3 linked regions of the Saccharomyces cerevisiae S288C genome follow. The gene in region 2 interacts genetically with the main gene of each other region. Each region holds a gene or a part of one and is shown on either strand. Other genes may lie near its edges. The genes, in order: PHO86, TLG2 and RET2.

Region 1 (3,594 bases), on a different chromosome or scaffold from region 2:
AATAGTTGCATCCGATGGCGCTAACGTTCAGGGCAGCTGTGCGTATGAAGATGGCTCTTTCACCGGAGATGGTTCCGATGGTTGCACAGTTTCTGTTTTATCTGGATCTGCTGAATTTGTTTTCTATTAAGTCATTCTTCTTTTCGGTAAAAGAATGTCTTGTATTTTGATACCCTCAATTCCCCTTATTATTCTTTTTCTTCCGCTCTCTATTTATTATTATACATTGGGATTCCGTTATATTTTTCTCCTTTCAGTTCATTTTACTTCTTAAAAAGTTTCGTTGATCGCTATTATGCTATGGATTCAAAGATTTTCTTTTCTCTCTCTTCAAGGTGTACTCTGCATTACGGTTTTCTTTAGTTCGTTTATTTTTTTTTTGTTAACAAGGTGTTTGTATACATATATATAAATATATGGAAATATTATAGTGTTTATTTTGTTACTTCCTGCGAGTTGCAACAGAACTAACAAGATGCCATGCTGTTTTTTTTCATTTTTTGGCTATAAAAATAACAGTATCCTAGTCCTTGTGTTCGGCTTTAAAATGGAATTGCAAACCCCATAATTCCTTCTTCACACCGAACAAACCGCCTAGTAGTCGATTTTCAGAGACTCTAATGCTTTGAATATAAGTGAACCCTTTTTTCTTCAAAATTTCCTTAAGCGTGCTATCGAATGAGTAGACATCAATCAAGAGTTTCATGGTCTCCCCGTATTTGCCGCTGCTTCTAATATTTTTGGAGTGTAGCATAGCCCAATCAATCAAATCTTCGATAATGCCACTTTTTACATATACACGACGACAACCCACAGTAGTAACACTCATGACTAAATTTTCATCAGTACTTAATGTCATGTTAGGGGCTAACGAAATCAATGCAATGGGCGTTTCTCTATAAACGATGATATGCGTATTGTTCACCACTGGATCCTTTGTTTCATGTCTTGCCACCAAATCATTCAAATTGATGCCGAAAACTTTCTCACCTTTAGAACCAACAAGTTGGTTGATCTTCGACTTGAAATACGAGTCAGATACACGTGAGAGGAGGGTGAACAAGAAAGATGCACCAATTGCGGTGAACACTAAACCGCTGAGGACGACCTTCTTATTAATACGAGCCAGCTGGTAGAACCATCCAGCAACGGATCCTGTATTCCTTATCGGAAAGACAATTCTTGGCGTCAAGTAAATAAGCAGCCCAATGGTTAGAACAACAAGGATGACGGGATGGAAGAACAAATACTTATTAGCCAATGCCTGTTCTTGTCTGATGAAATCCGCGGACAAATTCAATGCAGCTGTACCATATTCTGGTTTCAAATTAACACTGTAAATAGTAGGAGGAGCATCAATATCAAGTGGTTTGTCTAATGATGCATCTACTTGTGGGACCGATGGGGCATTTTTATCGGACTTTCTACCCTCTTTCTTCTTTCTTTGTTGAACCGCCATTGTGCCACTCTTCCTACTCTTGTACTTTCGCTATGAAAAAATGTGCAACTGGAAGAGTCGTAATCAATCTAGAAAACTTAGTAAAAGTATGTGCTATATATCTATAAACATGAAAAGCTTTATTTGTGTGAGAGAGAAAAAAAGATGTTCTTTGGTCGTTATTCATTATAGTTTCCATAAAGAGCACGTGCGGGCGCGCTGGGTAATGCGGGTGTGAATTTTCAGTTATAGGTCAACTACAACAGCAGGTCGAGAGGGCTTCTTCAGAAAGCGAGAGGTCGTACCAGGGATGATGTTGCGGGAGCTGCTGTTGCTGCTGCTGATAATGCACCAGTGCAGTTGGACTGGGAAGAGCAAGTGGAACAGCCACCATCTGGATTTCCATTATTGGGTACATATTTGAGAGTGGACGCTCGATGCGATGTGGTCTTCGACGCCTCCGCTTCCTCTTGATGGCTACGATCCTCAGACGAGGCCGTTTGCGTCTCTTAACGTGTGTGTGTTGTATAATGGGAGAACAGGGTTGTCTCTCCTCGGTCTTGCGCTTTTTCACTCGCAATACAGCATGCCCAAGAGTGCAGAGCCTATCAATGAGATAATTGATTAGAATAGAATTTATCAGTGGGTCGACAATAATGAACCACTTGACAACGGTCTTGGCCGCACGTAAAACCTGTGTGGTGCGAGAAGCAACGAATCTGTATACAGTTGATACAGAACGTCGGATCAACAAAATGGGGCGTGATGAAGAAAAAAAGTGGCGATCCCGTGGAGGACATTGGTGCATGGATGATTCAATCATACAATTTACGACATTTAACCAAAGTTGCACTCTGATGGGCTCAACGACTGCTACTCGTGCCAATAATGAAACTGAAAAGCATGAAGCCATCACTGTTTTTTTCGTGGTCTTTCTATATATAAACAAAGCCTCTGTAAAGTTTTTTTTTTTCGCATAACAAACGCGCTTATCTGAGACATAACAACAGCCAACGACCGATGCCTGCGTGGAATAAACAATAATACGCTGCAGAGGATAAAAAGAGAGGTATCATGTCTATTTATTCTCTGCTTTTCTAATCAAATGTGTATTGTATGCTGAACCATGCCGGTTGGTTGCTTCTTCCGGTAATTGCATTCAAGTCCTGCAACTTTAAATGTCCTCTTATAAAGCAGGACGTGGCTTCAGAAACAAAAAATGTGTCGCCAAGAGAAAACAAGAACAGCTATCCAAGTCGAGCTGGGAAAGTAATCAGATTTTTGTATATGTATAGGTACTTTCTTGATCCGTAAGCTGGAACTTCTTTCATGATCTCTGTTATAGGAAAGCCAGAATAGAAAGAATCCGCCCGTAAAAAGAAAAATAAAGCAAACTCGATACAATTTCATGCAAGAAGGCCATTTGCTAATTCCAAGAGCGAGGTAAACACACAAGAAAAAATGGTCAAACCAATTATAGCTCCCAGTATCCTTGCTTCTGACTTCGCCAACTTGGGTTGCGAATGTCATAAGGTCATCAACGCCGGCGCAGATTGGTTACATATCGATGTCATGGACGGCCATTTTGTTCCAAACATTACTCTGGGCCAACCAATTGTTACCTCCCTACGTCGTTCTGTGCCACGCCCTGGCGATGCTAGCAACACAGAAAAGAAGCCCACTGCGTTCTTCGATTGTCACATGATGGTTGAAAATCCTGAAAAATGGGTCGACGATTTTGCTAAATGTGGTGCTGACCAATTTACGTTCCACTACGAGGCCACACAAGACCCTTTGCATTTAGTTAAGTTGATTAAGTCTAAGGGCATCAAAGCTGCATGCGCCATCAAACCTGGTACTTCTGTTGACGTTTTATTTGAACTAGCTCCTCATTTGGATATGGCTCTTGTTATGACTGTGGAACCTGGGTTTGGAGGCCAAAAATTCATGGAAGACATGATGCCAAAAGTGGAAACTTTGAGAGCCAAGTTCCCCCATTTGAATATCCAAGTCGATGGTGGTTTGGGCAAGGAGACCATCCCGAAAGCCGCCAAAGCCGGTGCCAACGTTATTGTCGCTGGTACCAGTGTTTTCACTGCAGCTGACCCGCACGATGTTATCTCCTTCATGAAAGAAGAAGTCTCGAAGGAATTGCG
Region 2 (3,479 bases):
TTTAACTGCAGCTCGTAATCTGTCTGTAGTTACTTTTTCGCTCAATGATTTCCGAACACCCTTTAGAAATTTCATCTGACTATTGATCTTACTCAGTTTTCCTTTGTCGCTGGGCTTCCTTTTCTTTCGATTTTCCAACTTTTGACTCATCAAAGAGCATAAAACTTCACAACTATCTAATATGTTATTGGCCCCGCACATAGCAAACCTGCTGGCGTGAAAAGTTTGATGGTTGAACCCTGTATCGCCTTTCAAGTGAGTGAGCCTTTGAATTTCATTATGGAAAAGTGCGGAGTAGCTACAATTCCAATCGATCATGCATCTCAATAATATTATTCTATCTAATGGTTCCATCGTCAACAAACCACCTCCATTAAAATTTAGAGTAGATAAAATATCACTATTACCACGCCATTCTTTTGGTAAGCCCCACTCCTGGATTAAGCTTCTGAGTTTGCCAACCAGTTTTCCATATGGATTTTTCAAACTAAGAAATCTTTTTAGCGTGAAATTTCTATGAGTTTGGTTGTCTGCTCTTTTCTCGGAGCAGAATAATAACCTCAAAAGACTGCAAAATAGTAGATTCATTTTATCCTGACAAATTCGAATATTCTTCGCAGAATGGCCAGCCACCTTTAATTCTAGTCCTATCTCCACATCTTGAAATGACAGGTTCAGTAGATCGTCGCTGAACACCCATTTAAATTTGACGATAAAAGAAAGGATCTTCATAACATCGCCTGCATATGGGAGAGGGGTGCAAAGGGGAGGCGCCCAATTGCTTTCCGTTACCGTCTCATCACTCATAAACTTTGCAAAGTCAGAATATCGTAAAGGAATATTTGGTGACCAGTTTAATGTATTCAATGGTCTATTATTAGAAGTAGTGTGTTCACTGATCGACTCTACCTTGTTAGTGTCGTTCGAATGTGTTTTGATATTAGAATATTTGCTTGCCATATTTGCCTCCATTTCTTTAGTTTTCATTTCTTCATCACAGGTACCTTCATATTTCTCCCGCTTTTTAGTATTTTGGGTAGCAGCATCCAGTGATTCGTCAATTGAACTATTGTGAGAAAGTACAACAGGTTCTTCTACAATTTTGATGTTTCTGAAATCATCAAAGGTCAACTGACCCCTTCTTTTTACCCTAGGCTTTGAAGACTGGTTTTTCTGTTGTTTGACCATAGGTTTCTTGATAAAGTCATCGACCAAGTCTAAATCAATAATTTCTGTCATTATTGTACCTCAAATTTCTTGTTCCTTATTTTCTTGTTTGATGTCTAAAAAAAAGAGATATCCTGGTAATGAGCAGGCCGTTTCTTCAGCTCATACAATCGAAAGCTTAAGAGTTAGTCGTTGATATGGTATTCTCTAATACCGAAAATAACTTAGTACATATAAACGCGTAAAGTTCACGCGTTTATATCACCCTACCATATGACATTCTAACCCTACTAATTTTTTATCAAAGCTAATAGGGTTGTATTTTATTATCTTTTACACCTACCTTTTTTTTTTGTATATGCCCTATAGATGAATTATAATTGTTGGACCGGTTTGTATTGGGCTTTTAAGGTGTAAAGTGAGTGCGTATAGATTATAGCAGAATAGACTATAAGTACGGCAAGACAGGAAAGTCTCCAATTGATGTACATTTTATCGCTTTGTGATCTAGGCAGTCGTTACAAACATGTTTAGAGATAGAACTAATTTATTTTTATCATACCGTAGGACTTTCCCTCATAACATAACTTTCTCATCTGGGAAAGCACCCTTGGGCGATGATCAAGATATTGAAATGGGTACATACCCGATGATGAATATGTCTCACGATATATCGGCCAGATTGACAGATGAACGAAAAAACAAGCATGAGAATCACAGTGATGCGTTACCACCCATATTTATTGATATAGCGCAGGATGTTGATGATTATCTTCTGGAGGTGAGACGGTTAAGTGAGCAGTTGGCGAAGGTTTATAGGAAGAATTCGTTACCTGGCTTTGAAGACAAGAGTCATGATGAGGCGCTGATTGAAGATCTAAGTTTCAAAGTAATTCAGATGCTGCAGAAATGTTACGCTGTTATGAAACGATTAAAGACCATATACAACTCTCAATTTGTGGATGGTAAGCAATTAAGTCGAGAAGAGCTGATTATACTAGATAATCTACAGAAGATCTATGCAGAAAAGATACAAACTGAAAGTAATAAGTTCAGAGTATTACAAAATAATTACTTGAAATTCTTGAACAAGGATGATTTGAAACCTATCCGCAATAAGGCCAGTGCAGAGAACACGCTATTATTAGATGATGAGGAAGAGGAGGCAGCAAGAGAGAAGAGAGAGGGCCTCGATATTGAAGACTATTCAAAAAGGACGTTGCAGAGACAGCAACAGCTTCATGACACTTCTGCAGAAGCATATTTGAGAGAACGTGACGAAGAAATTACTCAGTTGGCAAGGGGTGTATTAGAAGTGAGCACTATTTTCAGGGAAATGCAAGATTTGGTTGTTGACCAGGGGACTATTGTGGACAGGATTGATTATAATCTGGAAAATACAGTGGTAGAGCTAAAAAGTGCAGATAAAGAGTTGAATAAAGCAACACACTACCAGAAGAGAACTCAAAAATGTAAAGTCATTTTATTACTAACATTGTGCGTAATAGCGCTCTTTTTCTTTGTTATGTTGAAACCACATGGCGGTGGCAGTGGTGGTCGTAATAATGGTAGCAACAAGTACAACAATGATGATAATAAAACAGTTAATAACAGTCATGATGACGGCAGTAATACCCATATTAATGACGAAGAGAGCAACTTGCCGAGTATCGTTGAAGTAACAGAATCTGAGAATGATGCTTTGGATGACCTACTTTGATGACAAAACTTTCACGGTACCGCATCGCGATTTTGAACTATAATATGCTTTGAAGAAAATTGAGAGATTTAGTCAGCGTTCATATGACCTGTTGCTCGTTCTATTTGAGAAAAGTGAAAAGGTTAATATATGATTTCAATAAAGTATGTAGTATGATAATAAAATACAAATTTATATGGGATAAAATTGAACCGCAAGTAAAGACTGGCGAACGAATATTGTGCATAAGTAGTTCCTGAAGATGATAAAATATGGTTTAATACAAGTTGGTGGTTATTGTGATTTGTAGAATATAAAAAAAAAAAAAGAACCTTCATTTTTCTTTTTTTACCTAAATCCGTAAGGATTGTTCAGTGAAGTAGTAGCTCGGGGCAAGTTTTTGTTTTGCATTCTCCTCTTATAGGCAGGCTTATATCCTTGTGTTATCGGGCTTTGGTTTGGTAAAGGATTCGGAGCAAAACCGACGCCTGGTACCGGATTTCTGTGCTGTGGCACTTGGTTTGGGGCAACGTTGAAATAAGGATTGCTTTGTAAAATAACATTAGAAGGATCTGGACCAGCAGGAGTAGTTCTTTGATATAAATTGTATTGA
Region 3 (3,758 bases), on a different chromosome or scaffold from region 2:
CTGACGGTTCTGTCTATAACAAATACCCAGGTTTCAAGGAAGCCGCCGCTAAGGGTTTGAGAGATATCTATGGATGGACTGGTGACGCAAGCAAAGATCCAATTACGATTGTTCCAGCTGAGGATGGTTCAGGTGCAGGTGCTGCTGTTATTGCTGCATTGTCCGAAAAAAGAATTGCCGAAGGTAAGTCTCTTGGTATCATTGGCGCTTAATGAAAAAAATGTAATGAAATATAAATGTGTTTTTCCCTCCCTTAATATTATTATTCTTATGAGTGATGCCCTTATGTTTTTTTTGCGGTCTAGTATATGTAAATATAGACACACACATATATATATATTTATGTGTATAATCCTAGCTAATAAACATTTTTAGATTGTTATTAGTATAATTTTTTCCACTTACTTTGTTCTCCGGGAGAGAAAAAGTTGTTTATTTTGTAGTAATTTTGTGCACATATTATATATACAAATATTACACAATATTTTCAATACTTATGGCATAATCCATTGCTTTTTCGATAATGTTTGTCTTTTGGTCTTCTTCATGCATCATTTCATCTTCGTAATCAGCTTTCTCCTTTGATTGGTTATTGAAGTAAACTTTCGAGTTGACAATAGGCCAGTTTCTCTCTAGTGCAAATTTTTCAGTTTCTTTTTCGTTGTTGAAAAAGAGCAAAGCCTTTATGTTGGAGAGAGGGAGAAAGTCGTAGGATAGCTCGGTATTTTTAGCAATTTCGTCTCTTATAGCTGATTTTAGGATATCGGTAAAAGAGTCGAATTCTGATATATTCTGCGACCCAGATTGCAGAAGATCCCATGCTTTCTGGTACGACCCTTCCATGAGCCATCTGTCTAGTTTGATAGGGTAAGACAAAAGTGAATCGTCTTCCAAGTTCTTGATATGTTTATCTAGATACTGCAATTCCGAGTGAAACTTGGTTGTGTTATTCTGAGACAATAAGTTCAACAAATACAGACTTATCAGCTTCGATTTCTTGTCAGATTCAGATAATTTATGATTGTTGCTAAAGTAGTAAGGCTTCAATTGGTTGAAGTAATTCTCGAAGCTGTCAAAATTGAAAGTTTGGATGCTAGCAAGGGCACCTACTTCCAGGATCCTTTTAGTAATCATCAAATCATTCAAATAGATGTCATTTTGAATGGATAAGTCAGGTATTAAAAGGTTATTCTTGATAAGTTCGATCTTGATAGGGGGCAAGAGCTTCTCACACGCGGCATAATCGCCGTTTTCAAAGGCTATGCTTAACGACTTGGTCAATTCGGCTAACGAGGGCATTACGATGGCTTCTTATCTCACTTCAATAGTACTTTCCACCGGTTATACTTCCGGCTTTTCCCTATTAATACAAGCTACAATTTCAATGGGTGGCAAATAATGTGTAGAATAGAAAATAAGCCGACAGGGTAATAAAGAAAATTTTTAGAAAAAAAAGGTTAGATGGCTTATTTAAGTTACAGGCTAGCGAAAAAAGGAACTTCAGGGCAAGTAAAGTGTTTGATTGGGCACTAGCATGGCTTATAAAGGCGAGCAATTGTCGAAACTAATTAATGTTGTACGGACTATTGCTGTCTTCTCGTGGTAAATGCGTGTTCCAGGTCGAATACTACTTGCACACAGGCGAGCGGGGCCCCATAAAAGTGTTGCCGATTTGTTAAGTTGTCTTTTCGGTTTTTCTACTCTGTTATTCCTTACTTCCCTTTTTAAGAACTCTTTTTATCCTTCATTTAGGATCTTGCACGTTTCCGCCTCATCACTTGAATTAAAACATGTCTCTGTCAGTAAACCTTGGCGTTTCTATTGTTCTTCATAGTTCAACTTTTATTATTACCCGCCCTGCGCGTTTACATTTTTCCAGCAACAGCCAGCGAAAAATTAGAAAATCTGGTTGTTGACACCTCAAGAACAAGGGCAATTAGCCTCAGCGTCGAATATAGATCATATTAGAATACCTATAGCTCCATCAAAAGAAATACACAATGGTGGTTTTGGCTGCTTCTATCACTACGCGTCAGGGGAAACCTCTCTTGTCCAGGCAATTCAAAGATCTGTCCAAGGATCGAGTCCTAGAGTTGCTGTCCAATTTCCAGAACCTAGTCTCCGAGATCTCGTCAGACCACACATTTGTCGAGGACAAGCACGTCCGCTACGTGTATAGGCCCTTTGATAACTACTACATTATTCTTATCACAAACCGCCAGTCCAATATTATCAAGGATTTGGCCACATTAAATCTGTTTTCACAGACGATCAACTCCTACTTGTCTAGTTTCCAAGACCAAGAGATTTTTCACAATGCCTTTGAGATCTTGTCCTCGTTCGACGAAATCGTGTCAATGGGCGGGTACAAAGAGAACTTGTCCTTTACTCAAGTGCAAACATACTTGTCTATGGAGTCGCACGAAGAAAGAATCCAGGAAATTATTGAGCGTAATAAAGAGATCGAAGCTACTGAGGAGAGGAAGCGCCGTGCTAAGGAAATTGCTAGAAAAGAACATGAAAGGAAACACGGGTTTATGTCTTCAAATGGCGATTACGACGGCGCCAATAGGTTCATGGGAAGTAAAGATCCTAACGTTACAAACGCCATCAACAGTTACTACTCCCATGCTTCTCCTGCAGCACAACAGTCTTATCTACAAAGTTCCCATGCCGCTGCTGCTGAGGTGGCCCCAGTGGCCTCCCCAATGGCTACGTCTCAGCGTGCGGGACATTCTGCTACTGGCGGTATGAAATTGGGTGGTGGTGCCGGAAGAAGAGCGGGTGCCGCACCACGGCCAAGTGCAATTTCTTCAGCCTCTTCTGGCACTCCACCTCCTCCGGAGGAGGATGTCCCAGAGAACAATGGTATTTTGATCTCTATCAAGGAGGTAATCAATGCAGAATTCTCCAGAGATGGTACCATTCACTCTTCTGAATTGAAAGGTGTTTTAGAACTAAGAATTAATGACCATGACTTATCTCACTCGAACCTAAAACTAGCTGATTCTATTGACGTTCGCGATAAATCCTTCCAGTTTAAGACCCATCCAAACATAGATAAACAATCGTTCCTATCCACTAAACTTATCTCCCTGCGTGATAAATCTAAGGCTTTCCCAGCCAACGACCAAAGCCTGGGTGTTCTAAGATGGCGTAAAGTCGCTCCCGCAGAAGATGACTCATTAATTCCATTAACTCTAACTACATGGGTTTCCCCCTCCGAATCACAACAGGGCTTTGATGTCATTATTGAGTATGAGAGCGTCCTGGAAACAGAACTCGCTGATGTGATCTTCACCATTCCAGTTTTCCCTCAGGAGCCAGTAGACATAAATACAGAGTCTTCTACATGCTCTGACGCTGAAGTTGTCAACATGGACCAAGAAATGGGAACCTCCATTAAGATTAGCAAAATTGCTGCCAACGATGCAGGTGCGCTAGCATTCACTATCGAAGCTCCATATGAAGATGCATTGTACCCAATGACCGTTTCCTTCCAAGAGTCCACGAGGGATAAATTAGCTAAGAGTTTCACCGGTATGGCCATACAATCTGTTGTCATGGCCAATGACCACGATCAAGAGCTCCCTTACGACGTCATCACCTCTTTGAAATCAGATGAATATCTTGTCCAATAGTACGTTACATTCACATATAAAATACTTAAGTTATATACACAAACTAAATAAATAAAAATCGAGGTATCTTTTCTTTCGTCCTTCTATATATATAGTTTAACTTACTCTTATTCTTTA

The links.
Region 1: mutations in TLG2 (region 2) and PHO86 together harm fitness more than expected from each alone (negative genetic interaction), as found in Saccharomyces cerevisiae (5 studies listed by BioGRID).
Region 3: mutations in TLG2 (region 2) and RET2 together harm fitness more than expected from each alone (negative genetic interaction), as found in Saccharomyces cerevisiae (5 studies listed by BioGRID).

The regions. Positions count from the first base shown.
Region 1 is NC_001142.9:190,396-193,989, reverse strand, and holds PHO86 (Pho86p), read right to left. Parts: upstream 1,460-3,594; coding exon 524-1,459; downstream 1-523. Other genes in the region: SUN family protein NCA3, read left to right, coding at 1-130; YJL118W (uncharacterized protein), read right to left, coding at 1,692-2,351; ribulose-phosphate 3-epimerase RPE1, read left to right, coding at 2,900-3,594.
Region 2 is NC_001147.6:290,289-293,767, reverse strand, and holds TLG2 (t-SNARE syntaxin TLG2), read left to right. Parts: upstream 1-1,693; coding exon 1,694-2,887; downstream 2,888-3,479. Other genes in the region: ESC8 (Esc8p), read right to left, coding at 1-1,239; TOS7 (Tos7p), read right to left, coding at 3,215-3,479. UniProt on the Saccharomyces cerevisiae protein: t-SNARE that functions in transport from the endosome to the late Golgi and on the endocytic pathway.
Region 3 is NC_001138.5:250,046-253,803, reverse strand, and holds RET2 (coatomer subunit delta), read left to right. Parts: upstream 1-2,000; coding exon 2,001-3,641; downstream 3,642-3,758. Other genes in the region: HXK1 (hexokinase 1), read left to right, coding at 1-212; proteasome regulatory particle lid subunit RPN12, read right to left, coding at 475-1,299. UniProt on the Saccharomyces cerevisiae protein: The coatomer is a cytosolic protein complex that binds to dilysine motifs and reversibly associates with Golgi non-clathrin-coated vesicles, which further mediate biosynthetic protein transport from the ER, via the Golgi up to the trans Golgi network.